Canis lupus familiaris: one gene and its partners. The protein of the gene in region 1 interacts with the protein of each later gene in a pairwise test. Links are inferred from orthologs where the notes say so. Each region holds a gene or a part of one and is shown in the gene's direction. Other genes may lie near its edges.

Region 1 (3,196 bases):
TTGTACACTTTTAGGACCAAAGACACACCCAAGCTGGGTCTCCTCTTAGTGATATTGGGCGTTATCTTCATGAATGGCAACCGTGCCAGTGAAGGTGAGTGGCTGGACCTGCAGCTGGGGATTGGCTACCACCTGATTTCCATGCTCATCTTCCATCCCTTGTCTCTCCCCTTGCCTCCCACTGCAGCTGTCCTCTGGGAGGCACTACGCAAGATGGGACTGCGTCCTGGGTATGATTGGGCTCTCTCATCTCTTGCCTGTTCATATCATCCTTTGGCAACAGAGGATGGTCCCAGGATTGCATCAGCCTGGTGGTATAGGGAATTGGTCTGGGGAGGTACCAGAGCCCAAGGATGTGACCTGGGTGGATGGGCAAATAGTTCTGAACTCTATGCCTCTCCTCTCATCTCTGATCTCCACTAGAAAGCTCTTTTCTTTTCTTTGGGCAATGTCATAGTCTTTGATTATGGGTTTCTTTTTTTTATACTATCAGTGTGAGACATCCTCTTCTTGGAGATCTGAGGAAACTTCTCACTTATGAGTTTGTAAAACAAAAGTAAGTGATGTCTAAGGGTTTTTTTCTGGTCTTCATGAGTTCTGTGTGCTAGTCAGCCTCAGACAGTCCTTACTATGCTCATTTCTTACACTATACCTATATATCCCCATAGAAAAACACATACATACTTGGAAGTGTTTATTGAGTATCCCTGCTTGTGGTTGGATTTTTCTGCAGTATTATAGTTATCTTGCAGGTGAAGTCTGTCCACTATACCCACAGTAGACATTTCCAAGGCTGAGGTTTACATTGCATAGTAATCATTGCAATGGGCCAACTGTGGCTCAATAACAAGATTACAAGAACATGGAGCTAGAGCTGTGACACAAGGGGAGAGATTAAGTGTTGCCCTTTCTATGACCCTATATAAGCCACCCTGCAGTTTTAGGTGACTGCTTAATGTAGAAGCACTGGTACAGGAATTTGAAGGCCTGACTATTAGAATATAATTAAGCTAGGTTTATGGGGCAGCTGGGTGACTCAGTTGGTTAAGTGTCTGATTCGATCTCAGCTCAGGTCTTGATCTCAGGGTCGTGAGTTCAAGCCTCAAGTATGGAGCCTACTTTAAAAAAATAAATTTAAAAAAGAATATAATTAAGCTAGGTTTAAGAATGAGTCTGGGTGGGATTGCTACCTGAAATTGGGGGTATCAAAATAGAGTATTATGCATTGTTGGACTACTATCTGGGTGGGATTGCTACCTGAAATTGGGGGTATCAAAATAGAGTATTATGTATTGTTGGACTACTGTTCTTTCTTGGGTAGAAACAAAGACCTTTCTGCTCTAAGGTACCTGGATTACAGACGAGTGCCCAACAGCAACCCTCCTGAGTATGAGTTCCTCTGGGGCCTCCGTTCCTACCATGAAACTAGCAAGATGAAAGTGCTGAGATTCATTGCAGAGGTAATAGAGGAACTGCTCCAGACTTGATAGGTCAAAAGATGAGGTGTGGCTGGCTGGAAAGGGTCCAGAGCAGGGATAAGACCTTAGATACTGCACGTGGTACTGCATTACTGGTGGTATTGATTGTTGCTGTTACGTAAATAGTAGCACAAAGTAGGGCACTAAATATATAGCAAGTGCTTCATAAATATTAACTCCCATTATTACGGGTTTTGTTTTATTTTCTATTTTCTGTTCTTCATCTCAGGTTCAGAAAAGAGATCCTCGTGACTGGACTGCACAGTTCATGGAGGCTGCAGATGAGGCCTTGGATGCTCTGGATGCTGCTGCAGCTGAGGCTGAGGCCCGGGCTGAGGCGAGAACCCGCATGGGGATTGGAGATGAGGCCGTATCTGGGCCCTGGAGCTGGGATGACATTGAATTTGAGCTGCTGACCTGGGATGAGGAAGGAGATTTTGGCGATCCCTGGTCTAGAATCCCATTTACCTTCTGGGCCAGATACCACCAGAATGCCCGCTCCCGATTTCCTCAGACCTTCACTGGCCCCATTATTGGCCCTGGTGGTACAGCCAGCACCAACTTTGCTGCCAACTTTGGTGCCATTGGTTTCTTCTGGGTTGAGTGAGATGTTGGGTAGGTATATCACTTTGGTTTGGGCAGTTAGGGTTATCGGGAGATACAGGGTCCATGGGAATGTGTTTATGTCACAACCTGGGAGTCCTAGAAAACCCATGGTGGGGAGGTGAGGGAAGTATAGGGAAGCATATACTTGGTATATTTCTTACTATTTGATATATATCACTGATTATTTGGGTTTTTTTCTTTCTTATGTTCACAGATATTGCTAATCAGTTGCAATAGTCTTTCCCCTGAGTGAGGCTGAAGCCTCAGATTCCTTCTAAACACAGCTATCTAGAGAGCCACATCCTGTTGACTGAAAGTGGCATGCAAGATAAATTTATTTGCTGTTCCTTGTCTGTTGCTTTTTTTCCCCTTGTGTGCTGTCAAGTTTTGGTATCAGAAATAAACGTTGAAACTGCAAAGTGAATTACGTGTGCTCTCTGTTTTTAACACATTGGGGAGAGATTGACTTGTTTATATGGGAAAGAGAGCGCCTCACTTCTAGCCTGAGGGGCAGATTAGCTTTCAATTGGTAAAAATATGGGTAGATTCCGTTAATGGATTGGAAAACAAAGGAGGAAGTAATGAACACAAGTGTTAATGAGGTCCAAGAACCAGTATAGTTTACCTTAGAAATATTACCTCAGGAACTCATGTGATAGGCTGCTAGGAGTCCTGGAGTGATGATGCTTAAAGAGATGAGAGACAGGGTGTAGGTGGTCAGACAGTTGAATTTAAGAAGGCAGAGGAGGTGGAACCCCAGTTAATGACAAAGTCCAGAGAGTGGGTGGTTGAAGGGGAGTGAAGATAACTGTTTCTGGTGATGCATCTCCTGAGATTCTAGGGTGTTGGTTGTATGTGGAAAGTGAAACAACTCCAGGATGGGGGCAAGAGGAGGAACAGAGAACACTGTGATCCAGGTGCTGGAGTCTCCTGTGTGAAAAGGAAGATCTCATACTCCTAGTCACATTGCCCATAAAGAGATGGGCTCATAGGGCCCCCTTCATCTCTGGAAATGCTACCCAGGAACTTGTCCCTCTAGAAAGCCCTCACAATCCCCCTGCCCTGCCCCCCACAACAGGACCAGGGCCTCATCACAGAGACAAGTTCTTATG
Region 2 (4,223 bases), on another chromosome or scaffold:
GCTCTGCATGAAATTTTATCTAGAATCAAATGGGATATTTTCTGCTTTTTAAAAGTTTGAATCTGGGATCCCTGGGTGGCGCAGCGGTTTGGCGCCTGCCTTTGGCCCAGGGCGTGATCCTGGAGTCCGGGATCGAATCCCGCGTCAGGCTCCCGGCATGGAGCCTGCTTCTCCCTCCTCCTGTGTCTGCCTCTCTCTCTCTCTATCTCTCTATGTCTATCATAAATAAATAAATCTTAAAAAAAAAAAATAATAAAAAAAAAAAATAAAAGTTTGAATCTACTGCTTAGATAAGTATTGTATTTGCTGGTAATGTCCTAAAATCAAGTGTAAGAATCTTAGTATATTCCATGATGTCTCCAATAGATAGATTTAGCCCAGCTTCTCAAACAGATGGTACAAATCAGCATAATTTGCATTTATCAGCATAATTTACATTTTGCCTACCCATTTATCAATGGTCTATCTTGTGATACCACTGCCTCCCCCTTTACCTCTTGTTTTTTTTTTTTCAATGCCCATAACAAAAACAAGTTTCTGCAATTTTGATAATAACTCATGTAAACAAAATAGGAAGGAGAGGCAAAGTTACATTTCCTTTAGATCCAGGGAGAATGCTGTGGTAGAAAGAGTCACTGACTAGAATTGAGAAGACAGAAATTCTACTTCTAGATTTGACTCATTTTACTCTGTCAGTGGACCAATCTTTTTAACCTGATTCTGTTTTCATCTCTCTTAATTGGTGATCACAGAATTTTAGCACCTGAAGCCTCTATAGAAGTCATCAAAATCCAGCCCTCTCTTAGCTTATTATTTAGGAAATTAAGCCCAAAGAAGTATAGTACTTATTCATTGTCCCAGATGTGGTACCTATCTTACCTCTCCCCTTGGGTTTTGTGAAGGTCAAAATACATTGTAAATTTGTACAAAACCAAACATACAAAAAAAAAACTAAACGTACTCAAAGTATTATTGACAGCATACCATTACATACCATTATTAAAATATGTAATATACTTAAGGGAATGCTTAAGTAATGGTGCCATTTGCAGGAAGAAAAAAGTCATTTTTTAAAATATTATTCTAAATTAATACTCAAGCCTAACCAAGCCAAACTTGAGAGACCAACAGCTGCTTGTGGTTTAAAGCTTCTGAAAAGAGTGCGCTAGATGCCTTCTAGTGAAGTCTCAGCGATTTAGTTTACATTGGTTGGAATCACTTGATTTGTCTGACATTGTAGAACATTTGTGTTCTTACAACTCCAGTAACATTTGAACTGAGGTATTTGCCCAATTTTTATGTAAAATCATGTGTTCACCATCTATGAGCACATAAAATAATGAACGGGGGTTAGATTGGTTCAGGATGAATGAGTTTTCTCTTGAATACTGTCTCCAGTCTTTAAGAAAAATAATGGAGTATGTTTGCTTATTTGTGTAAAATTCAATAAAAGTCTATTGATTAAAGTTTTCATATGAAATTCTACTCCTTGGGGATCCCTGAGTGGCTCAGCGGTTTAGCGCCTGCCTTTGGGTCAGGGCATGATCCTCGAGTGCTGGGATCAAGTCCCGCGTCAGGCTCCCTCCATGGAGCCTGCTTCTCCTTCTGCCTGTGTCTCTGCCTTTCTCTATGTGTCTTTCATGAATAAATAAATAAAATCTTTAAAAAAAAAAAAGAAATTCTACTCCTTAACTATCAATGGGCAGTAGTACATTTTTCTCTTTTTAACGTCTGCTATATTTCTATAAATATGAAAAAGGGGGATGAAGAAATAAAGTTGACACCAAACCTAATGTTTGCAAGTACTTAAAGTTTATAAATGCTTAGGTTGGTACTCAACAGCAGTCTAGTATCCTTTAGCTAAAACAACTAATTAAGTATGTTTATTACCACTTAAAATCCCAAAAAATGCATGAAATTGGGGATGTACCTTGAATTTTATTACTGAGTGTCTCTTCTTGTTCACTTGGCTGAGGATAACTGCACCGAAATTCCATTGGTAAATCCCAAAGAAAGGGGATTTTCACTTACCTAGATTTCCATCAGTATGGTATAATTGAACAGAGTCAAAGATCAGCTCAAATTTAAATTCAGAATATACCTTTATAAAGCAGTGAGAGTAGTAAACAGTGTGAAGATGATGAATAAGAAAGTGCATCACAGTGTGGTGTACAATGACATATATTCTGCCTTTCTCATTTTTCTAAAAACAAAGAATTTTTTTTTCAAAGAATATGTTCTAAGCAGTTCTATGAAAGAGACGAAACCAGAGCCCAGGATTTACTTTTATTTCTTACATTTCTTTGTCCTTCTCTTTCCTCCCACCCAGTTTTTCTCCTCCCCATTTGCCCCTATACCTGCAACACCCACCCCCCCTTATTATCCCTTCACTGTGCTTGTTCTGCTTAAAGATGCTCAGGTGTGGAAGTGACCCATCAGCTGGCGTCTACAGAGAAGATAGTGTTGGGTGGAGCTTAAATGCAGGGATGTCTGGAGCCAGCTTTCACATGCCCTCATCACACCTTTTCCTCATGGAGTCTTAAATGCTCTCTGTCCTCTCTTCCATTGCAGGTTGGAAATTAAGCCCCGTAGTTGGAGCTGTATATGGCCCTGAGTTATATGCAGGTAGTATTTCATTAATTTTTCCATTTGGCCTATTGACCATGACAACATCTGTTGGTTTTCGATCTACTATTCCTTTGTAATCTTTTTGCATTTTTTTTAATTTTTTTAAATGCAATCAGCATCCAGCTTTCAAGCAGACGTGTCCCTAGGCAATGATGCAGCAGTGCCCCTATCAGGAAGAGGGGGTATTAACACTTACATTCCTTTAATCAGTAAGTAGCCTATGTTGGCCTGGCATGGATTTTGACTGTTGTGAGTAAACAGTGATGTGTCCTAGTCTTTTTCTTCTTCCCCAAGTATAATATATAACTGAGGAGGAGGCCTTCTCAAGAGAGTTAAATGCTGTCACAGTGTCCCATCCTGCTTAACCTGTGTAAGAATCTTTCTGACCAGATACTGAGATTGCCACGAAGCATAAATAGTTGGAAAAGGTCAAGGGGATTGAGGACATGTGTAGAACATTTTAGTCTGCACTTGATTTTAAAACCAAAGAAATAGATACTTGTGGAATATAATATGCATGTTCTCTGCAGGTCAGCTTTGGGCTTTTTAGTAGAGTATCATTTAGAAGCACCTCCAGCATTAATGATTATTCTCCCTCTGTTGATACCTCTGAAGTCATTCTGACCTGAGCCATTTTGCTCTAGCAAGGTATAATTAAAAAGAGTTCAGTGAACATGGAATAAATGTCTCTGTGTGCTTTCCAGAGGATAGCACATTTAAAATAGACCTTTAGAAACTTTCTGCCTCTCTGAAGGCCACAGGATTACAAGGGAGAAGTCGTTTTCCTCTCCCCTAACATTTCTGGATTAAAACATTTTAGATAAAAGAATAAAATGGACTAATGAAATATCTAAAGATTATTGTATGCCTTGGAGGTTAGCACCACATACAAACACAAAAGACTGCTCTTATGAAGAATAATTATTAAGTGCACATAACAACATGTGAAAATAAGATTAATAATTGGCCAGTTAAAGAATTAATATCAACAATTTAAACTGCCTGCAGAAATTAAAAGTCTTGTCTCTTACTACGGCAGTAGTCCTCAGAGCTTCTTGACCTCTTTCTCACCAGCTTGCATTGTAAAGGCCAGAATTGTGAAGGAGCAGAGTAAACTCACTCAAGATTGGATGATGAACGGAGCATGCATCATTAGTTTTTGCATATTGGGTCTCTCAGTTTCTTTCTCAGAAAAGATGTGATAATCTCTTCCAACCTTTCCTGGAATTGGTTCAAAGCAAGTTGTGATTGTACCCCTGCTATTGAATTCAAGTTGACATTCCTGTCATATTTTGGGTCTCCCTTTAGTTCCTGGCTTCCCTTACCCGACTGCAGCCACCACGGCAGCCGCTTTCAGAGGAGCCCATCTGAGGGGCAGAGGGCGGACGGTATATGGTGCAGTCCGAGCGGTACCTCCAACAGCCATTCCCGCCTATCCAGGGTAAGCACTAGATTCCAAAATAAGCAGCTGGACAGAAAAGAATACCATGGCCCTGTCACAACTTCTGGGACGTTGCCGTGCCACATTGTAGAGATTCTATGAATATTTGTAAATTAATAGATCAGATGGCAAGAATCAAAATATACCATTATCA
Region 3 (3,871 bases), on another chromosome or scaffold:
TACTGACTTCCAGAGAATCACAGTCACCTTGTAACCTTCTAGTTTCACCCCTTCCAAATAATACTGTACAGGCTGGGGAGAAATTCTTCTACTCGCTCCCTCATTCCATTCTTCTTGCCCTTCTTTCCAAGACCCATGTGATGAGAATCCCAGAAGCCTAGCAAGTGCTTCTGCCAGCTTTCTTATTGAAAATAGGAAGATGATCGTACTTGATGTCTTGGGGCGTATAGATAGGATACGTGGAAAAGGCTTAGAAAGAGCTTTGAAATTTAAAGATTCCAGCACAATTGCAACTTTTTAAATTGAAAATAAGCTAACGTAGGTGACATCATTCCTTTATTCTTTATCGCATTCTATGACTGGTCCTGTCCAATCTTGCTCTGGTAAGAGCATCCTCTAAACATATGAGGATGTTCACTGCTGAGTCGCTTATAATGAAAACTCAAGAATGAGCTATAAATTCAATGAGCGAAAATAGTCCATCTCTATTAATTATGTTCTGTTTCTATGATTGGGTTATTATGCAGCCATTATAGCTCATATTTGACCTGTAAGTGGTAAGATAGTGGATTATTTTTGTTCTATTATTTATACTTTTCAGTGTAATCCAAAATTTTCCCGATCGTATTACTTTTGGAGTTAGGAACACAAAGTCAGCAAGTGCTGTTAACCGAAAGGAAAGCTCCCGGGTGTAGGTATCCAGGTGAACCACGGGACCTTCTGAAATGTCTTCCTTTGGATCTGTGTTGATCCAGGTGAGCTGTCGGGGAGAAATGTTGAAGCAGGTCAAGAGATGTTCTGCTCAGGTTTCCAGACGTGTGCCCGGGAGGTGCTTCAGTACCTGGCCAAGCATGAGAACACTCGGGACCTGAAGTCTTCACAGCTAGTCACCCACCTTCACCGTGTGGTCTCAGAGCTGCTGCAGGGGGGGACCTCCAGGAAACCATCAGACCCGGCTCCCAAAGCCATGGACTTCAAGGAGAAACCCAGCTCCCTGGCCAAAGGCTCTGAAGGCCCCGGGAAAAACTGTGTGCCGGTCATCCAGCGGACTTTTGCTCACTCGAGTGGGGAGCAGAGTGGCAGTGACACGGACACAGACAGTGGCTACGGAGGAGAATCAGAGAAGGGTGACTTGCGTGGTGAGCAGCAGTACTTCAAAAGCGATCATGGACGCAGGTTCACCATGGGAGAAAGGATCGGTGTTATTAAGCAAGAATCTGAAGAACCCCCAACAAAAAAGAGCAGGATGCAGCTCTCAGATGATGAAGGCCACTTCACTGGCAGTGACCTGATCAGCTCCCCATTCCTGGGCCCACACCCACACCAGCCTCCCTTCTGTCTGCCCTTCTATCTCATCCCGCCGTCAGCGACTGCCTACTTGCCCATGCTGGAGAAGTGCTGGTATCCCACCTCCGTCCCAGTGTTATACCCGGGCCTCAACGCCTCCGCCGCAGCCCTCACCAGCTTCATGAACCCAGACAAGATCTCAGCCCCCTTGCTCATGCCTCAGAGACTCCCTTCTCCCTTGCCAGCCCATCCGGCCATCGACTCTTCTGCCCTGCTCCAAGCTTTGAAGCAGATCCCCCCTTTAAACTTAGAAACCAAAGACTAGGGGACCTTGCCGCACTGCTTTCCTTCCTCCCTACTTCCCCCTCCCCCCTCAAAAAAGAAAGTGTGACTGCAGCAAGATTGTTCTAGTGTGTATGCTGAGATAATCTGAGGCATGGAGAGAAGATTTTTGGGGTCCCTGTGTGCGTGTGTGTATCTGTGTGCGCGTGCGTGCGCCTGCGCTCGCGTGCATCGTGTGCTGGTATAGGACATTAAAGCTCCTTTTGGCGTAGGGAAGATATGAAGGATTGCCTGACATCAGGAGACTTAGGGGGGATTGTAGCAGATCTCTGGGCTTTCCCCCACCCGGAGAATAGCCCCCTCAGATACATCCAAATCAGCTGGATTTTCAAAAGCTTCAAAGTCTTGGTCTGTGAGTCAGTCTTCGTTTTGGGAGCCGGGTCTGTGGCTTTGAGAGAAAGGTACTTTCAAAAGAGGGCTTTCCAGAGCGCAGTTCCCAGCCAGCTCTAATGACCCCACCCTTCTCCCTTTATTGTTGCGGTGACTCACCGAAAGGGGAGAGGGCAGCCACACTGAGCTTTCTGCTAAGTGGTGAGGTAGCAGACACTGGCATAGCACGGTAGTGGTTTGGGGAGATTTCTGCAGGTCTGCTCCCCACCCGCTGCTGCCTTCTCCGGTGAATAAAGAGAATGTAGTTCCCTTCTCAGGCTTTCGTAGTGATTAGCTTAATAAGGAACTGAAAAGGGCCCCCTGGTCAAGCTGAGCTGCCAAGGAATGAGGGAGGAGGCCCCAGGGCCTCTGGTGCCTATTCCTAGGTCTCACCTAGAAAATGATCTTGCTGTCCCAGGAACCAGAGCAGGGTCTGCGAGATGCAGGTGCCTATGCTGCAGTCATCCCCAAAATGCATAAAGCCAAGTAACAAATTGCTACCTTCAACGAGCAGAGCTAGACTCAGTTTTCAGTTCTATCCTAAAACTCCTTTACCAAGCTTAGCTTAAAGGCCTAACCAGCTCTTGGCACAGCAAGATCCTTTCTGCAGGCTAATTCCCCTCGCCCGACGGCATAGGGAGTGTCCTTATTGCTAAAAAGGATTCTGTCTCCTTCAAAGAAGTTTTATTTTTGGTCCAGAGTACTTGTTTTCCGACTCATCCAGCTAGCCCTGCACCAGCTTTTTGAAATGCACTATGCTTGATCGCCGATCGTGTTTTAACTTTTTCTTTTCCTGTTTTTATTTTGGTATAAAGTCATTGCCTTTATTTGTAAAACTGTTATAAATATATATTATATAAATATATTAAAAAGGAAAATGTTTCAGATGTTTATTTGTATAATTACTTGATCTACAAAGTGAGAAAAATGAATGTATTCCTGTTTTTGAAGAGAAGAATAATTTTTTTCTCTAGGGAGAGGTACAGTGTTTATATTTTGGAGCCTTCCTGAAGGTGTGAAATTGTAAATATTTTTATCTATGAGTCAATGTTAAGTAGTTGTTTTAAAATACTTAATAAAATAATCCTTTTCCTGTGGAAGAGAAAAGATGGTCTTTTGCATTTTTTTAGAATGCCCCAGTTGTGTGATACGGCTGTCTTCTTCCCTCCCCTCTTGGCTGGAGGCAACAACTAGTTAATCTTGGCGTCATTTCATTCAGCTTTTTATGTGCCTTGTATTCAGACAGAATAAACTTGGTCAATTTCATGGTAAATATTTGTTTAAATTTTTTTTTTTTAACTAACGGTTGCTAAAGTTCATGGCCACCCTGCGCCTCCTTCCAGCATTAGGCAAAAAAAAGTACATTGTCCCTGTCCCCCCAACCCCAGCCTGCTTTTGTCATGATCCTTAGAGCTTGACAGAAAATCAAATTATAGAATCGTTGGGCCTTAGGATCTGGGGAGCTTGCTGGAGGGGTAGGCACATGGAGAAAAGATTTAATGGATTATTATGCAATAATAATTGGTGCTGGGGATAGCATCCTCTGCCAAGCCAGTCTAACTTTTTTGAGTCTAGCAAAGTCTAATGGATTTGCCATATCCTGTCTTATTGCTGCTGAAGGCAACATTCCATAATTATTTTCTACATCCTTCCTGGACTTCCTCTCGTTGGGTGTGTTTGTGCGTGAATGAATATTGGTGTTCCTTAGTCAAGTGCTCTTATGAAGAAAAAAAATTTCCATGGGAAAAGAAGTGGGAAATGACCGGGTCGAGTATTTTTGCCTCTCCCCTTCTCCCCATCAGGGATGTCCCTGCTGGCCAGTGCCTGGCTTGCCATGCTTCAGATCCCCAAGTATCTGAGTCCTCTGGGAACC
Region 4 (4,100 bases), on another chromosome or scaffold:
ATGGACATTTGGTAGAGCTGTGCTTGATAAGATTCTTAATGTGCCAATATTGGATTCTACCTAGAGTCCTTTTGCTAAATAGTGGCCAGTAACCTCCTTCACTTAAGATTAGATGGAATCTGTTGGTAGTTAGAGTTGTTTTTCTATAACCATACTTTTGGGATCCTATTTTTACAATTGTTCTGAATTAAACTTGTTTCCTTATGCTTATTAGGCAGACTTTAAGACACAAAAGGAAGCTGTATGGGCTGTGACCAACTATACAAGTGGTGGAACAGTTGAACAGATTGTATACCTCGTTCATTGTGGCATAATAGAACCATTGATGAACCTCTTAACTGCAAAAGATACCAAAATTATTCTGGTTATTCTAGATGCCATTTCAAACATCTTTCAGGTAAGTTATAAGGTAGCATTTGAACTTGGCCTTGATGGTAATGGATGATATTTTAACCCACGGGAGGGCAGCTAAGTTTGCTCAGTAGGCCACAGAATTAGAAAGGCTGCTTATGTGGGCCACACTCTTGGTAAGACGTGACAAGGGATTATAAGAGATTTAAAGGAGATGACAAGGGGATGACCTGAATTTAAATCAAGTCCATATGTGGACACAATTCATTCCTATCTATTTTGTCAGAAATCTTTAATTCTTCAATGTCCTACTGAATTATGGTGAAATTAAATTTTGATGACTTAGTTATCCATTTTATTTTTTTTCTGATTCCCTTCCTAATTGACCCGAGCATGCTAGCATATGACACTTTGTCACAGTGGTTGGGGATAGGTAGGTCCTACCTAATGACTTTAAACTTCTGATTATGGAAATTCTACCTAGAAGAGTCTAGAATAATGATGCTTGGTGTATCTGTCACCCAGCATAAATAAATTGTCAACATTTGGCCTATTTTTCTACTCCTTCTTACCTAAACCCTCTAAATTATTTTGAAGCAAATAAATTATTTAATCTGTAAAAATTTATGTATCCTAAAATTTGAAGACTTTAAAACCACAATGTCATTTTTATACCTAATAAATTCTTGATTATCAGTAAGTAATCCAATCAGGGATGTTTATTTTTATACACCTTAGGCCATCTTTGTCCTTAGACGATGGTTCTCTACCTTGACTACACTTTGATGTTATCAGAGGTGCTTTTTAAAAAAGATTTTTTCTTTCATTCATTCATTCATTCATTTATTCATTCATTTATGAACCTGAGCATGTGTGGCAGGGGCAAAGGGGGAGGGAGAGAGAATCTCAGCAGACTCCATGCTGAGAGTGGAGCCCAAAATGGAGCTCAGTCCCACAACCCCTGAGACCATGACCTGAGCTGAAACCAAGAGTCAGATGCTTAACTGGCTTGAGCTACCCAGGCACCCCTGAGGTGCTTTTATAAAACAGTAATATTCTGTTCCCATCAAAGACCAAACTTGGTTATGGTAACATTTTTATTTTTTTTTATTTTTGTTTTTTTTTAAACTTTCTTTTTTTTTAATTTTTTATTAATTTAATTTATTTATTTATTGAGAGAGAGAGAGAGAGAATGGCTGGGACACAGGCAGAGGGAGAAGCAGGCTCCATGCAGGGAACCTGATGTGGGTCTCTATCCCGGATTTCCAGGATCACACCCCAGGCTGCAGGCGGCGCTAAACCGCTGCACCACCGGGGCTGCCTGGTTATGATAACATTTTTAAAGTTGCCCAGGTGATTTTGATTCATAGAAATGATTTGAGACCTACTGTAAGATCTAGCTGAGAGCTACAGAAGTAGTTGTTAAGAACAAGTATAGATCTGATCACCTTGAATTTTTTGAAAATGTAAACTGGAAATAAAACCATCTCATAGGGTTGTTGAAGGAACTTTAAAGTGGTTGTCTGAGATCCATCAATACCCAAACATAAACACGGTTTTCCTTTTTTTTTTTTTTTTTTTCACGGTTTTCATTAAAATAGAACATTCAGTAAATTCCACTAAACTTGGATATTTTTTTTAGGCTGCTGAGAAACTAGGTGAAACTGAGAAACTTAGTATAATGATTGAAGAATGTGGGGGTTTGGACAAAATTGAAGCTCTACAAAACCATGAAAACGAGTCTGTGTACAAAGCTTCATTAAACTTGATTGAGAAGTATTTCTCTGTAGAGGTGAGTAACATGGTAAAGTTAACAAGAATTTGGAAAATACACAAAGTCAAGCCCATAAGATTTTTTTCTTCCTTATACTTTTTAAATGAGCCCTGTGACCTTGTTAAATATGGCAAAATATCAGTGTGAGTAGGACATAATGTATATATATATTTTGCTTCTTAAATATTTGGCTTGATGATCATATAATCTTTAGAAATTAAAAAAAATTTTTTAAAAATTACCCCTCTTTCTTTAGAATGAACAGTCTTAAGGACTTTAGAGTATCTTGAGAGTAAGTTTGTATAGGAGATGATGGAAAAGTGGGCCAACCCCACTGCCATCTTCTGGGGCTAATAGGCCATCTTCCCATTTCCTTTTTTTTTTTTTTTTTTTAATTTTTTTTTAATTTATTTGTGATAGTCACAGAGAGAGAGAGAGAATGAGGCAGAGACACAGGCAGAGGGAGAAGCAGGCTCCATGCACCGGGAGCCTGACGTGGGATTCGATCCCGGGTCTCCAGGATCGCGCCCTGGGCCAAAGGCAGGCGCCAAACCGCTGCGCCACCCAGGGATCCCCATCTTCCCATTTCCTATGGAAAAGTGACAGGTGGGGAAGAAAGTCTGCTGTGGTAGCATTCCTTAGTCCATTCGGAATCTTCCATCTCCCAGGCGCTCCTGAATTGGCAAGTTTTCAGCAGCTTTCCCTCCACTATTTCAAATACTGAAATATGGTACGGCATTGATTAGTATAATATGCAGATGAAGACCTTAAGAGTAAATAGAGACTTCTAGGCAGGCTACTTCCTAGAAATGTGCTATGTGTGTGAAATTATATTGTTTGGTTTTGTTTTTTAATACTTCCAGGAAGAGGAAGATCAGAATGTTGTGCCCGAAACTACCTCTGAAGGCTATACATTCCAAGTTCAGGATGGCACTCCTGGGACCTTTAACTTTTAGATTGTACAGCTGAGACAGAAAGTTGTTTGTTGTGTACTGTTTGGTAGAAGTTTGTCTTACTGTTTCTCTACTAAGAACTCTTTTTAAATGTGTTTTGTTATTGTAGCACTTTTTACAACGAAACTATACTTGACCAGTTCTGAACTGTACAAACTGTATGAAGCTCCTCCTCTCAGTGGGTTGCTTATTTCTATGTGGAATCTTCTATCTTACAGTGTCCTGTAAATAAAGATTAAATTCCACCCTTTTCTCTACCTCACCGTTCCTATGCATTACTTTCTAATTTGGAGTTCTTAAGATTGCAGATGAAGGGTGACAGAACCAAACCAATGTGACCAACCAGAGGTGTAATTCTGGTGGCAGATGACATTTGATATCAGGTTTGTGATGTCCTCAAAGATAAAGGAGTCATAACTCTTCTGCCCACTTCTGAGCTCTGGGTTTGCTCTAGGCTGCTTCCATTCTTTGTCAGTAATGGCTGTTGGCACTTGCAGCTTCATATCCACTATACTCCAGCCAGAATAGAATTTTTCAGAAGTTTGCATAAGAAAATGAACAGAATTTCCCAGAAGGCTTCAGCCAATATCTCCTTTAAATCTCACTGGCCAGGGAGTGAGAGTGAGGCCAGGGAGTGAGGCTCCTTGCATGGAGCCTGCTTCTCCCTCTGCCTGTGTCTCTCATGAATAAATAAAATAAAAAAAATATATATATATACATATATACATACACATATTCTACACATATATGTATGTGTGTATATGTATGCATATTAATCATAATTAGGATGTTTATATATACGTGTGTGTAATATATACATGTACATAAAATTTAATATATATACACATGTGTATATATATATTTATTTATTTATATATATAAAATTAGAAGTCTCAAGCTACAAGTAGAATTCATTCCTCCCAAACTTCAAGGCTGAACATGGTTTCAAAGCTGTTGGCATCACCTGGAAAGTTTACCCACAAATTCTGTTTAATTGGTAAGGGGTGGGGTCCCAGTATCTG
Region 5 (4,223 bases), on another chromosome or scaffold:
GAGAATTTTTTTCCTTTTTCTATTTAAGATATGAGTTTATTCCACCCATATTTTACCTTCTTCAGAACACAAAGTCTGTGGTCTAGGACTCCGTGAATATACCCCCAATGTCTAAAGGGGATCTTTGGATTATTTTCTAAGGCCCCTGGCATTTGCAGATCTAACATTTGTAGTTTTAGATAGTCACACACAAATCCTCCAACTTACAGACATAATATTTTATTGCTAAAACGTGTATGTGAATCTTGCATGCTGTTAGGTTGGTGGGCTGGGAGTAAGACACGTAAGTTAGTCTAGCGGACTTAAGATCTGCACCTCTACATGGCTTCATTTTTCTCTATTCTCTTCCTGCATAGAAACTTTTAGAAGTAATTAAAACTTTTTTTTTCTTTTTTGAGAAGTGGGGATGGGAGAAAGGGTCCAAAGAAAACAGTTGCTAAAGTTGGTGATAGAAATAAGAGGTTATTCTTAGCTAGAAAATGGCTTTAGAAATTAAATTACATTAGGCTGCTTTTATAGATTCACTAAAAGTCTAAAAGATTAGTTATATTTTTCAGTTATACTTTATCTTATGAAGGAATTTACATGCCATGGAGGTATTTGGGAATTTGAAAATTTTAAAAACCTTGGGATTTGCCCCTCACAAGTGTTAAGGAGTCTATTTCAAAGGCCAAATGGGAAACACATTTATTGGTAATAAAGCTGAATAGTTTAATTAATAGTATAAACTCAAAATTGTAGTTATTGCTCAATTATTGCCTGCCTGATTAGGTACTGATTATTGCCTATCAAGTAGACATTTTAATTGGTAGTTATGTGTCTTGGGGTTTGAAATGGGGTCTTGAATTATTACTGAATTAAATGTATCCTGTCAGACAAATTTTTCAATAAAAAGAACTAAGGTGGAGGGGGCAGGAAGGACAACCATGAGGGCAAATGATTGGTAATAGAGACCATCGTGGGCTAGAAATCAGAGTATGCACATAGATCTTGGTTCTGCCACTGTCAGGTTGGTTCTTCAGTTATAAAATGCTGCAGTTGGGCGAGAAACTTTTCAAGTCTTTCCTCACCTGACGTTCCATGTTTCCACATCTCTCTGATTGCAGTGCATGCAAGAGATGGGGAATGGAAAGGCAAACCGACTTTATGAAGCCTACCTTCCTGAGACTTTTCGCCGACCTCAAATAGACCCGTATCTTTTTTGGAGCAAGTTAGAAGGCTGAGTGGTATTTTGGTGTTTTGGGAGAGTCACACAAGACTCAAGCCCCTTGATCTGCCTGGGCCCTCTCTATGTGGTTTAGTCAAAGTCTTGCTTTTCCCTTTCCTGCCACCAACACATACAAAAAGTATACTTTCTAATGTCGGAATAGTGCTGTCACACGAGGAAGACTCGCTCAGGAATTAAGACTGTAGTGGTTCACTGTGAATTCTCCCATAAAGTGACATCTCTGATAGTTTTTGGATCTTTGAAACTATTGTGTGTTAAAAGAATAGATTACTGTGCTGTATTGAATCAGCAAAACTACCATTCACTTTTTAATGCCTTTTCTATGTTCTGTGTGAAAGAATGAACTATTATTGACTAGTTAGTAACTTTCTTCCCTCATCCTTTCAACAGGGGATAGCGCCCTACTCACAAAACCAAACCTCCTAAAGGCAGTGCTTCTCTAAATGTGGTTTATAGACTGTCTTGTTAGAGTTTGCTTTTTTGTTGGGTGCAGGTGGAACCTGTTAAAATGCAGATTTGGGACCCTGCAGAAGACACACCAATCAGAATCTGGTAGCGGGGCACAAGGGTTTATAGTTTTAAGGGGTACTCAAGTGCATTTATTTAAGGCCTGTTGACCTAAAGACTTTAAAATAGATAATTTCCTGCTTTACCTGTATTCTAGAAGAGCCACAGGTTCCTCTTATGTCATTATGAAGACTAATCCCATTTGCTGCTGTGATTATCCTGAAGGAAACTCATAGGAAGTAGTGATTCCCTGCAGTAACCATGAAGGAGGCATTTTAAAGTTTTGGTCAGGGAACTGCATGTGAAGAAATACAGGAGCCATATGGAGAAACCAGCCAGGAGGGAGAGAGAGAACAACATTCCATTGAATACAGATCGACCTGTGATAGTCATACTGTGGGAAAGATTTGTTTGATTTACCCTTAATAAGCTTTTTCCAGAGCTGTCGAGGGATTTATTCGGGATAAATATGAGAAGAAGAAATACATGGACCGAAGTTTGGACATCAATGCCTTTAGGGTTGGTTATAAATCTTTCAAGCTTTGCTCAAAATGAGTAATTTGCTTTACATCAGGCCAGGGAAGAATTTGAGAAGTGCTACCAAAATACTCCAAAAACATTAAAAAAAAAAAAAAGTAGAAAGAAAGCCAGTTACTGAATCAAGACTACAAGATATCATGGAACAGACTTTCATGTCAGGGATGGAGAGGGAAAACCATCAGTGAGTTCTTTGCCTTGGTTTGTATTTAGGTTTAGTGATTCCCAGTTCCAGATTATTTCTTCAAATGGACACGTTGGCCATACTAGATCAAACAGTAATATGTGTGTATGTATGTGTATAAATGTGTGTGTATATATGTATTTTTATCTGTAAATGAAGTCTACAAAATTAACTAAATCATCAGAGTTTTCTTCAGTTTGACCAGCATATATTTCCAGTGTGTTGATGGACTAATTGCCAATGGGACCCTATTCCTGAGAAGGGTTTTAAAAGGGGACTACCACTTTCCATCTTAGGCATGTGGTTAGAATCTGAAATACAGAGTCTGGTAACTAGGACAAGTATAATATACAGGAGGAAATACAAATTATTCCTGGAAGAAGAAAAGGTGCCTGGCTAATGACAACTAAAGAGTTGCCAATATGACGACCTAAGAAAGCCTTTAGTAAGATTCTACAGTAAATTTGCTTAGGAATAATTGACTATTTCTTTAGCTTTAAAAGTACAGAGAGTATAGGATTATCCAGTTCTAGCAAGTCTTATCTACCTACCTACCTACTACCTATTTATCTATCAATCATCTATCTTGTTTTGTATTTTAACAGAGGATATACAGGCCTCTAAGTCCTTCCAGGTAACTTAAAGTCAAACTAATTGGAATCTGCTCCAGATTGATCTTTAGGCTGTGAAAAGGGGCATCAACTGGTAGGTGAGTTTCAATGTAGGCAAGTAGGTGCAAGGTAGTACATTTAGTTAGGTAAAGATAATTCCTTCCCAACTTAGTGTGAAGGACTCTTACTTCATAGTCATCCAGAAAAGGGACGTGGAATTTGTCATAACTGTTCTGTGAAATAATCAACCCAGTGTACAGCCACAGCTTGGATGGCATCATCAGAAAAGTTTGGAACCAAAGCACACACATTTCCTTTGCTTTGTAGAAAACTGTGATCTGTTTGCTTAGCTTTTGTTCATTGTACCAAAAGATATGAAATCACAACGAGGTCAGAAAAGAGTATCTGAGATAATCCAAAAGATGAGGGAGGAGGAAGGAGTTGCCAAATGAAGATAGTGTCCATTCATAATTATGTTGCAGGTGTACTGTACCCATGTAAACAGCCTGTTCTACTCACTGCATATTTTCACTTAGGAAAGAAATAGCTCCTGTTTACCAAAAAGCTTTTCCAAGAATTTTTTATTTAGTGTACTTAGTTTCTAAAAATATTCTTGTGAAGATTTATATGCCAAGAATTAATATTTGCTAAGTGAAGACAGTTAATATCAAATTGAAAAAAAGTGGCTCTGTTAATTAGAGTATTATTTTTAAATGGACAGTAAAGCATTTTTAACTTCAAGAAATAAAGTGGAAAATCCATGTCTACCTTTATAATCTTTACCAGTGATTATCACTTTGGTGTATTCCCTCTTTTTTGTAGTTACTTTTAGGAGGCATAATTATATAGTTATAACTATTATTTTCATTCAATTTAGCATATCCTGTATTTTTATGTTACTTATGTAGCATTCATCACTTTAATTTTTTTATTTATTCATGAGAGAGAGAGAGAGAGACAGAGGCAGAAGCAGAGGCAGAGGGAGAAGCAGGCTCCATGCAGGGAGCCTGATGCGGGACTTGATCATGGGTCTCCAGGATCAGGCCCTGGGCTGAAGGCAGGTGCTGAACCGCTGAGCCACCCAGGCTGCCCTTCATTATAACTTTGAATTGTTGCATCCTCCAGTGAGTAACTAGATCACAATATATTTTACCAT
Region 6 (4,935 bases), on another chromosome or scaffold:
ATTCCATTAGCTGCAGCATTTGATTCATGTGTGAATATCCTTCTAGAAAGAGACTTTAATGAACATTTCAAGATTGTGAAAAAGTTTTCAACAATGGGAAAAGTGAAATGTTCCTTTTAGAAGAACTTCAATAAAAATGGTTAATACTTTGGGTAGTGCTTATTACTTTTAAAAATGATAGCTTTAGGGTAGACTTACCCTTCTGTCAATCTCAGGCTTATTAGGGAGCAGAGGAGAGAGGGTATCCACTAAACAACACCCAAAAGGCAGTGAGTGAAGAATGAATTTCATCTCCCTTAGACTGTGGCTCAAGTCCTCATAATGGTAGACTTTCTAGTCTCTATCTTAAGGGGAAACATTTTTTTTTTAATGAATGCTTCGAACCCTCAAAGCTAAAGCTGACCAATAGTTTTCATCTATTTTGCTGAATGTTCCAGAAAGTGTCAGAATTGAGTGATTTGAGCTGCCCCCCGCCCTCCCCCTTCAATCCCAACTCTCTTTCTGGGCTAATTTCTAATAACCTGTTAGGTGGCTTTTTTAAAAAGTGGAGGGCTGAGCAGGCAGTGAAGATTAGGAGCACAGAACCTAAAAATCCCCAGGAGGAGAATCTCCATCCTTCTATAAGGATTTAAGCATTCATACAGATGGTGTGATTTAGGAACTGGCTATTCGAACTGCTAACAGACATTTTGGTGCGTGCACGGAGCATATAAAAACAAATTTCGCTTAAGGTCCAAATCTGAGCTTATTACATATATACACCTTCTAAAAATGCAGAGTAAACTTGCTCAGGGGTTTTCAGCTTGGGGCTTTTAAAACGCATTGAAACAGGGGGCAGAAGGCATTAAGTCACTGGGTACATGTTTAAGAGGTAACAATGCGACCTCTTTGATCAGGAAAGTTCCTGTTTGTTATGCAATGTGTGCATTTCATTATTTACACGATTTCACTAGGCCTTTGGGAACTGTGTACACAGCAAGCTGTGCCTGCAGCAGCACCCAGACTCCGCAACTAAAACCAAACGCCCTTTCTGTTTTGCTTTCCACTCCTCTTGCTTTTCAGGTAAAAAAAAAAACAAAATTTTTTTTTACGGAAAAAAAAAATCCAAAAAGCCAAAACCCAAATAGTATCTACTTCTCTAAAACAATTTTGTCTTACATGTTTTAGGAAGGACAAGTTTCTGGGAAATTTTTCCATGCTCCTTTCCACTGTCCTCTAAGGACGAATTATAAAGTAAGTAGCCAGTGATAAAAATCCAGAGTGGAAAACTTACGGGGTCCTTCCAGCCCTCTCTTTTCTCCTACCCGTGGCAATGAATCTCTCTCCCCGCGGACTCGCCCGTCGGCTTTTTTTTTTTTTTTTTTTTGTATTTCCTGCAGTAAAGCCGAAAGCAGATAAGGTGGCAAGCCCCGGGTCGAGGGCCCGCGCACCGGGGTCCTGGGGGCGGGCGGCGGGCGACTCGGGGCAGGTGAGCCGGGAGCGGGCAGCGGGCAGCGGGCAGCGGGCAGCGGGGCGCTCCCGGGCCGGGGTAGCCGGTAGCCCGGGGCCGCTCCCCCCGGTGCAGCCCCGCGCGGGGGCCGCCGAGCGCAGGGGCGGGTCCTCCCGCGCCAGACACGCCCCGGCCGGGTTTATAAGCCGCGGCCGCCGCTGCCCGCGCCGCGGCTCGGCTCGCGCTCCCCGGGAGTCGGGACGCGCCCCCGCCCCGAGCCCCCCGCCCCGAGCCCCCCGCCCCGAGCCCCCGCCCCGAGCCCCCCGGCCCCGGCCCCCCGCCCCGCCCGCGCTGTCCCGCGGCTCCGCTCGGCGCGCCCCGCCCGCGCGCACCCCCAGCCCTGCACGCTTCCCCGCGGGGGCGCCCCGGGGACCCTCGGCCTGCCCATGGCTGACCTGAGCTTCATCGAGGATTCCGTCGCCTTCCCGGAGAAGGAGGAGGATGAAGAGGAGGAGGAGGAGGGGGTGGAGTGGGGCTACGAGGAAGGTAACCGGCCGCGGCAGGCGGGGTGGCGGGGTCCCCGCGGCTCCCCCGCTCCGTGCGCCGCCGCGCCCCTGCTCCCCACGTGCGCCCCCGGCCCCGCCCGGCCCGTGGGGGATCGCAGGCGGCGGTTCGCCCCGGGAGCCCGGCCTTGCCGCGAGCTCGGGGCCGGCCCCGCACCGAGGGCCCCGGAGGCGGCGTCGCGTTTCGCCCGCACCTTTGGGCGCCCGGGGTGACTGCGGCCGCGGCTCCGGGCCGAGGATGCTGGCGACGCTCCGCTTCCAGAGGAGTCCTGAATCGCAAGCTGCATCAGTGGGGTTGGCCCGAGGGGGGTGACTCTTAAAAAGTTCTCTGGGCTCCATTTACCCCGGGCGATGTAGGACTCCTGAGAGATTTGGCCCCTGGTGCTGCTGCAGGCACGAATGTGGAATTTATGACTTTAGTCATAAAATATGGCAAGAGGATATACGTACACGCTTCAAGAACATATCGGTGTGCGTACATATGCATAGACCCGCTTCAAAATTTGCATCTCTGATAAGAGGTGTTTATGCACTAGCCACAGATTTACGGTTTTTGGCTCTTATCAAGCAAATTCAGAGTTTCAGCTATTTCCCAGTAGTTGAACGAACGAGCAGAGGAAATTGTTGTGGAACTATGAATTCTTTTTTGAGCCCTTAAAGATGACCTAAATTTCCCAGGGTCGTAAATTATTACGTCCACGTGGACAAATACGAATGGAATATTTTGTTAGTACACGATTTTGTATATGGTACTAGATCGCTGAAAATATGAATGCAGAAATTCATACCCATTTGGCACATTTCATCTATAAACAGACAATAGTCACAACTTTTAACAATGTCAAGGATCATAAACAGTGTCTAAACTAGCTTCTACATGTTAAACTTTACTGGAACTTTCTAAAACCTGTTCTAAATTTGCTTCATTTTGTGCTTAGGTGTTGAGTGGGGCTTGGTGTTTCCTGATGCTAATGGGGAATACCAGTCTCCCATTAACTTAAACTCAAGAGAAGCTAGATATGACCCCTCACTGCTGGATGTCCGCCTTTCCCCAAATTATGTGGTGTGCCGAGACTGCGAAGTCACCAACGATGGACATACCATTCAGGTTATCCTGAAGTCAAAATCAGGTATATTAGAAGATGCTTTTGCATGTCTTTGTAAATTAGAAGTCCTCCTGGAGCTGTTGAATTGATTTGGCTTGTATGACTTTAAAGGTAGAATAAACATGGTACCAATATCAGGATAGCTTAATGTACTATAAGGTGCATTTTTTGGAATTAATTTCTAAAACATTTTTGAAAGGATAAAAGGATGAAATTACGACGGTGGTAGTTTGGTGGTTCTGTGTTATATGATGTTGCTGGAACAACCTTAGTTGATCAACTTAAACTTTGTGGGATTTGAGGAAAAGTATATGCGAATGTACTAATCTGTATTTTGTCCTAAACTGTTGATTAGTTTAATTCATTCAGAAAATGATAATGTTCTGTTTCACTACTTTGTGAAACTAAAGATCAGGATTTACGGACATAATCTGGCATTCCAGATAGACTTCTCAAATTAATTTTCTTTACTGTATTAACGTGGCAAGAAGAATTTTAACTAATAGCAATCAAAAATCTCCTCTAAACTTGGTTAAAGATTTAAATGGCCAACAGAACTCATATTAGTATTTATTTATTTTTAGCTCTCCTCTCCTTTGAGCCTGTTTGAGATGGATTTGAAATGTTTTGTGGAAAAGGTGTTGGAAATTGGCATAAATGTAGAGGAGAAGAAAGAAGAATTTTTTAAAAATTAGAATTAATGTTATACTTAGTGAATTGTGGGATTTCTCTCTTGGACAGAATATAAAATTAGAGTATGTTGAAATACTAGAAAGTACTAATTGAACCAGAGATCACCTATGCTTAAATTAATTCTGAATCAATGACTTGATATTTCAAACCATAAAATCTTTAGGTTTATTATTTGAAACAGAGTAGTCATTGATTTCCAACTATGGAATTTTTCTTACAAAATTCATTGTGAATGTTCCTGAACTTTAATTTAGAATCCACGAAGCTAGTCATAGAATCATGTAGTCTTCCCTGATGTTCTGAGTTTAGTCAAAGTATGAGCATCATCCAAAACAGATTCTAGGTGTTACTCTATGGAGTCAAAGAGAGAGAGAGACCCGTTCAGTTGTAAATTTGAACTCAAATAAGATTTTTTTTTTTTTTTTTTTTTTGTGGGGGAGCTATCAGTCAGGGACCATTATGCTTTATTTTAAACTATATAGTTAAATTATTAAATATTGGCTGTCTTGGCTTATAAAAAGCATATTGATGTAATATATGTGTACTGTTGTGTTGACATGCCTTTGTATTTCTGGAAATAAACATTTATGTATCTATAAAACAAAAATGCATTTCACATCAGGCACCATGGTGAGTGGGTATTGGTTGCATACAAATGCACAAGACTATTCTTGAGGAGTCATAGTTTAGTGAAAATACAATCCTTTAAAATACTAGTGTAAATATGTTATGAAAATGTTATGAAATATGGAAGCATGGAGGAATGACTGAGTACAAATACTCTCTGCACTAGGATCCAATTAACTCGACCAACTTGAATTTAACATTTCCTTCTGGTACCTTCTCAAACATTCATGATTTTCCTCGGCCCCCTCTCTCATCCCCAAAACAGACTATCTAGCAGTGCCTCGACTCTCTGATCATATGGTTTTCCCTTGCAGTCTCCTCTATCCTCCACCCCTGACCAGTAGGGAAGAGGTCTCTTGTCTGTCTCAGCCTAACTTGGATACACATGTTCCAGACACCTTACTCCTGCCTCCTTAGACAGCTTGCCCCTTTAGATGTCCTGTCTCCCTCATGCTGCTGGAATAATTTCTTCTTTGTTGTTTCCACCTTTTCAGTATTTCTCAAACTTAAAAAATGA
Region 7 (4,859 bases), on another chromosome or scaffold:
AGTAGAGCAGTGCTTCTCCTCCGGGTTACTGTCCTGCCCAGCGCTACTCCTATCTGGGGGAGTTGGTCAGCAATCGAGGGGCGGAGGGCAGCCTGGGGTCTAGCTGTGGCCAGAGGCACGGGTCAGGGTCGCACCCTACCACCCTAGCTGCCGTCTATTTATTCAAGACTCTGAGGTCTCGGGGCTGGTTAACAATTGTTCGGCAAAATCCTTCAACAAACTTCACTGTCATAGGAGGATTCCAGAAGGGGATCATTCTCAGAGGTGGGGAGGGGCCGGGCGGTGTCTGCCCCCAGGAGGCCTCGGCGGTGCTGCCGCTCAGCTACTGCTGTGTGAGAGAGAGAAGCTCAAAGGCGGTAGGCTTCCTGGACTGCGGACTCCGGGCTGGGAAACTGCAGGCACCTGGCCTGCTCGCGAGGCCAGGTGCCTGCAGCTCTGGAAAGCCCAGAGGAGGCCCCAGATCGCTACAAACCTGCCCTGAAGGGGGCAGAAGCCAACCCCCTGGCTGCCAAGGCCGGGGCCTGGCTGATTCGGCTGGACTGGTGCAAAACAAGGGAAGAGAGCCCTGCAGAAGAGGCTGTGGGGCCTGGCGGGGCTCTCGGGGTCTCCTGCTGCACTCGCCAGAGGCCTGGAGCCAACAGAAACGTTTCGTCTGATTAGAAGCCATCAGTTCAATCCCAATCCCGGAAAATTGACTGCGGTGCAGAGGGGGAGGCCAGAGAAGCAGCCTTGGACGACAGGGTCCAAGCTAATTAGGAGGCAGCATCCGGGGGCCCATTAGAACGCAGGCTGCTGTCACTCAGCCGGGCTCAGGTCCCGGGAGAAGAGGCCGAGGAAGGAGGGGCCAGCGGCCCCCCGACGGGGACGCCGCCGGGAGCTGCCGGAACGGGCCCCGGGCTCTGCCCCCGCCCTGGCGCTGGCTCGGAGGCGCCCGCTCCGTGCGATCCTGCCCCGGGAACATTCTCTCGTCCTGGGCTGTTCTCGCCGGGGGCTGAGGACTTCGAGGCGGCCCAGACAGGAGTTGATTCTGCGCAAAACAAGTCATCTGGGGCTGGAGGTGGGCACGAGCCGCGCGGGACTTGGAGACCAGATGCGTTTCTTTTGTGCGGCCGAGGGAGAAGTCGGTGTGTCAACGGGGAAGGAGGGAGCGGCGCGGCGCGGCGAGGCCGCGGGGGGTGGGGGGAGGGGGCGGGAGGCGGCGGGAAGGTGGCTGCGGCGGGGGAGGGGGACGGGAGGGGACGGGAGGGGGAGGGGGAGGGCACGGCCGGGGGAGGGCGGGCGGCTCGGGGCCGGATTCCGCCCGCGCTCCCTCGCTCGCCGGCTCCCTCCCTCCCTCCCTCCCTCCTTCCCTCCCTCCCTCCCCCCTCCCCAGCCCCCTCCCACCCGGGCCCACCCCACCCACCACCCCTGGCGCAGGGACTGCTGGAACCTGGCGGTGCGCGCTGTCGCTTTAAGACAGCCTCTGCCGGCGCCGTACGGAGCCTTAGAAACCGGCCCCGGATCGGGAGCCGGAGCCGGGGCCGGGCGGGCGGCAGAGGCCCGAGCGGCGGGAGCGCAGCGCGGAGCGCGAAGCCGGGGATCCGGTCGCGAGAAACCGCTGCCGCCGCCGCCCGCCCGGCCCCGCAGCCCCGGGCGGTCCATGGGGCGGGCGCGGCGTCGCTGCGGGCCCGGGCAGCCCTGGGGGGCAGCCGCTTAGGCGCTGTGCTCTTGTCCCCGCAGGTCGCAGCCAGGGCGGCCGGGCGCGCCCGGCCCCGGCCCCGGCCCCGGCCCCGGCCCCGGCCCCGGCCCCGGGAGCGCCCGCCGCGGTCCCCGCCTCCATGGACGCCTTCAAGGGGGGCATGAGCCTGGAGCGGCTGCCGGAGGGGCTCCGGCCGCCGCCGCCGCCGCACGACATGGGGCCGGCCTTCCACCTGGCCCGCGCCGCCGACCCCCGCGAGCCGCTCGAGAACTCCGCCAGCGAGTCGTCCGACACGGAGCTGCCAGGTAAGCGCGGCTCGGCCCGGCGCGGGGCGGGGAGCGGGGCCTGGCGCCCGCGCCGCACGCTCAGGTTGCCCGAGCCCCGCGAGCTCCGGGACCTCTTCTCCCGGCCTCCGTCGGACCGGGAGCGCGGAAATCTGCGCGCTTGATGAGACGGAATTCCGTGCTCTGCTCCCAGCCGGTGCCCACGCGCCCAGACCCCGGCAGATGCAGGCACCGACCACGGGAGGGTCGGCCCGACAGCCCCTCTTGATCGGGAGCAGACGGAGCCGGAAGAAAAAGAATTCGGTTTGCGCAACGAGTGCCCAGGGGGCCGCTCAGACCGCAGGACAGTAGGTGGAGAGAGGAACGGGGCGGCGGGCGAGAGACGCTGCGCAGGGAGACGGGGTCACACACCCCGACAGGCGGTGGGCACGGATGGAGAGGGAGAAATCCAAGAGAAGGGGTGGCGGGAAAAGTCAGAGAAACAGACTGCGGGGAAGGGGGGACCACCTCAAGTAAAAAAAAAGAGGGCAGCGAGGGCGAGCGGGCCAAGAGGTGCGGCTCAGCTGGCGGGCAGGCCCCCCTCGTGGAGGGACCCGGGAGCCGCCAGGCCGCCCGGCCAGGGCCCGGCTCGGCTGGGGCGCGTCTCCCTCCGCGCCGCCGTTTTGCCCCCCGAACTCAGGCTGCTCCCCCGCAAGCTGGCCGCGAGCGGGGCCGGCGGGTGGGCGGTGCGGGCGGTGGCGCGGCGGATCCTCGGCCGCTCGCGCCCCCGGGTCTCCCGCTCGGATCCCGCGCTCCCCGTCCCGCCGGGCGCCCTGTTCCCCGGGTCGTGGGCGCCTCCGCTGTGCTTTTTTCTTAATCCACCGCTGAGTGTTTCTCTACGCGTTTTTAATCTCTATTTGTTTCTGTTTTGCATCTCTAAGTGACTTTCTCTGAGAGGTTCTGTTTGCTTGGCTAAGAAAAGCAATCCACGCTGGACTGTACTTTTGTTTTCAAAAGTTTGAAGCGTGGCCTTTGGTTGGTTTTTACTTTTTAAAATCTGGAGAAATATACAGCGAGCGATTGCTTTTTAAAACCAACTCCGTGAGGATATATTAAATTTTTTAACTGTGTTTTTCGATATAGAAAGAATCACTACGCGAGGCATATTTCTCTGGAATTTAAAACATCCACATGCAGCATTATTCTTGGAGATTTTTAAAAGTCAATCCAAAATGGCGCGTTTCTCCGGGATTTTTTTTTTCAAAATCCATTTGCAGCAGTGTTAGTTTGGTAATTTATCTAACTATAGTGTTGTATTTCCCTGCGACTTAAAGACTATCCCTAGAAGGGCATTATTAGGAAGGGGCTAAAAAAAAATCTATCTACAACAGTACATTAAGTTGTTTTTTTTTTTATCCCGGAGAAATAAATGCCCGCGTCTGCCTGGAGTTTATACGCGTACAGCACTGTATTTAGTTAGGGGTCTGTTTGCACGGAGGTTTCTTGCTTCTTAATTTGCATTTGCTCTGTGTTCCTACCTGCCTATTTTTAATAGTTTGTGAGCCTTTCCATGGTGTTGGGATAGAATTGAGTTTATCTGGGCTTCTGTATTTTGTTTTTAATTTTTTTGTTTGTTTGTTTCAATGTGTCTATGACTGAATGTGTTTTGTGTACCCTGAGAGAGCGAGAGGCTAGAGCCCCAGGTCACCTAGACAGAGTGTGTGGGTCTGGGCTGCCGCCTGAGGGCTTTTCTGGGCCTCTGGACTTGAGGCCTGGAGCTAAGGCTGAGAACACAGCTGTGTTGTGCCTGCCCAATGTGGCTCCCACACAGCCCTGGGGAGAAGAAAGTAGAGGGGCTGCAGGTTACCGCCTGGCTCCTGCTCCACCGACCCACTGGCTTCAGGCTAGCCAGATTTGATATCAGTTCAGAAGAGCAGAGACACCCCCAGATTTAAATGCCTAAAAGCCCTCAAAATTTCATACATTTGCGGGCGACATAGGCAGTAGGGCTTGAGCCTGAGCCGAGCTGCAAGGGCAGGCCCTGCCCAGTGGGGAACCTAGGCCGGAGCCTCGGGTTCCCTGGCTCTTCGGGGCCGTCCGACCAAAGGTGACTAGTGAGGATCAGGCACCCGACAGGCTCTTTCCAGCGGGAACAAAACTAGGGTTCCTGGCGGGAGGAAGGGCCGCCAGCGCTGATGGCTGGCGCTTCGGTGGAGCCGGGACGGGGTGCGAAAGGGCATAAACCCAAGGTGACTAGGGCCTGTCCTGCCCGATTCAGAGAAGGAGCGCGGCGGGGAAGTCAAGGGGCCGGAGGACAGCGGTGCGGGAGGCGCAGGCTGCGGTGGCGCGGAGGACCCCGCCAAGAAAAAGAAGCAACGGCGGCAACGCACGCACTTCACAAGCCAGCAGTTGCAAGAGCTGGAGGCCACGTTCCAGAGGAACCGCTACCCCGACATGAGCATGCGGGAGGAGATCGCTGTGTGGACCAACCTCACGGAGCCGCGCGTGAGGGTGAGCCCAGCGTGCGCGCCCAAGGGGACCCGTGCGGACCGCTCCTGGCCGGCTCTGCCGCAGCCCTCCAAAAGCTTTAGACCGGCGCTCAGACTTTGTCTCCGTCCCACCACTCTCCACCGGAGAGGAGGATTCAGCTTTAGGCCCGGGTGTTCCGGGTGTTCCGGCGGCTCCTGCTGTGCCCTTTGGTGGTTAGAGCCTTCGGCGGCTGTCGCCTGGCCTATCCTAGTGACCCTCAGGCTCTACTGCAGCCTCACCCCAAGATCTGTGGCCCCATGGGAATTTCCCCTGCCCTGCAGGGCCCAGACCCCATGCGGATGTTAACACCCTAGACTGCACGGAGGATTCCCCGCCAAGGGGGCCCTCGGAGCTGCGGGCCGCCTTCCCCCAAAAACGAAAGGGAAAGG

Evidence for each region.
Region 2: the proteins of MAGED1 (region 1) and RBFOX2 interact in binary tests that used the Homo sapiens proteins (3 or more experiments, as listed by UniProt). The two-hybrid records come from large-scale screens. The link is inferred for Canis lupus familiaris from reciprocal best matches to the Homo sapiens genes MAGED1 and RBFOX2.
Region 3: the proteins of MAGED1 (region 1) and BHLHE40 interact in binary tests that used the Homo sapiens proteins (3 or more experiments, as listed by UniProt). The two-hybrid records come from large-scale screens. The link is inferred for Canis lupus familiaris from reciprocal best matches to the Homo sapiens genes MAGED1 and BHLHE40.
Region 4: the proteins of MAGED1 (region 1) and KPNA2 interact in binary tests that used the Homo sapiens proteins (3 or more experiments, as listed by UniProt). The two-hybrid records come from large-scale screens. The link is inferred for Canis lupus familiaris from reciprocal best matches to the Homo sapiens genes MAGED1 and KPNA2.
Region 5: the proteins of MAGED1 (region 1) and SMAP2 interact in binary tests that used the Homo sapiens proteins (3 or more experiments, as listed by UniProt). The two-hybrid records come from large-scale screens. The link is inferred for Canis lupus familiaris from reciprocal best matches to the Homo sapiens genes MAGED1 and SMAP2.
Region 6: the proteins of MAGED1 (region 1) and CA8 interact in binary tests that used the Homo sapiens proteins (3 or more experiments, as listed by UniProt). The two-hybrid records come from large-scale screens. The link is inferred for Canis lupus familiaris from reciprocal best matches to the Homo sapiens genes MAGED1 and CA8.
Region 7: the proteins of MAGED1 (region 1) and PITX1 interact in binary tests that used the Homo sapiens proteins (3 or more experiments, as listed by UniProt). The link is inferred for Canis lupus familiaris from reciprocal best matches to the Homo sapiens genes MAGED1 and PITX1.

Annotation. Positions count from the first base shown.
Region 1 is NC_049260.1:44,811,843-44,815,038, forward strand, and holds the end of MAGED1 (melanoma-associated antigen D1), read left to right. Parts: intron 1-14; coding exon 15-94; intron 95-187; coding exon 188-230; intron 231-493; coding exon 494-556; intron 557-1,345; coding exon 1,346-1,460; intron 1,461-1,707; coding exon 1,708-2,085; 3' UTR 2,086-2,093; intron 2,094-2,298; 3' UTR 2,299-2,508; downstream 2,509-3,196. UniProt on the Homo sapiens protein: Involved in the apoptotic response after nerve growth factor (NGF) binding in neuronal cells. Inhibits cell cycle progression, and facilitates NGFR-mediated apoptosis. May act as a regulator of the function of DLX family members.
Region 2 is NC_049231.1:29,471,926-29,476,148, forward strand, and holds part of RBFOX2 (RNA binding protein fox-1 homolog 2), read left to right. Parts: intron 1-2,571; coding exon 2,572-2,625; intron 2,626-2,744; coding exon 2,745-2,837; intron 2,838-3,924; coding exon 3,925-4,069; intron 4,070-4,223. UniProt on the Homo sapiens protein: RNA-binding protein that regulates alternative splicing events by binding to 5'-UGCAUGU-3' elements. Prevents binding of U2AF2 to the 3'-splice site.
Region 3 is NC_049241.1:12,717,334-12,721,204, reverse strand, and holds the end of BHLHE40 (class E basic helix-loop-helix protein 40), read left to right. Parts: intron 1-755; coding exon 756-1,612; 3' UTR 1,613-3,105; downstream 3,106-3,871. UniProt on the Homo sapiens protein: Transcriptional repressor involved in the regulation of the circadian rhythm by negatively regulating the activity of the clock genes and clock-controlled genes.
Region 4 is NC_049230.1:14,375,326-14,379,425, forward strand, and holds the end of KPNA2 (importin subunit alpha-1), read left to right. Parts: intron 1-214; coding exon 215-397; intron 398-1,993; coding exon 1,994-2,143; intron 2,144-2,988; coding exon 2,989-3,081; 3' UTR 3,082-3,335; downstream 3,336-4,100.
Region 5 is NC_049236.1:2,651,337-2,655,559, reverse strand, and holds part of SMAP2 (stromal membrane-associated protein 2), read left to right. Parts: intron 1-1,106; coding exon 1,107-1,192; intron 1,193-2,175; coding exon 2,176-2,254; intron 2,255-4,223.
Region 6 is NC_049250.1:11,250,832-11,255,766, reverse strand, and holds the start of CA8 (carbonic anhydrase-related protein), read left to right. Parts: upstream 1-1,822; 5' UTR 1,823-1,875; coding exon 1,876-1,975; intron 1,976-2,930; coding exon 2,931-3,122; intron 3,123-4,935. UniProt on the Homo sapiens protein: Does not have a carbonic anhydrase catalytic activity.
Region 7 is NC_049232.1:23,086,460-23,091,318, reverse strand, and holds the start of PITX1 (pituitary homeobox 1), read left to right. Parts: upstream 1-1,725; 5' UTR 1,726-1,817; coding exon 1,818-1,983; intron 1,984-4,219; coding exon 4,220-4,452; intron 4,453-4,859. UniProt on the Homo sapiens protein: Sequence-specific transcription factor that binds gene promoters and activates their transcription. May play a role in the development of anterior structures, and in particular, the brain and facies and in specifying the identity or structure of hindlimb.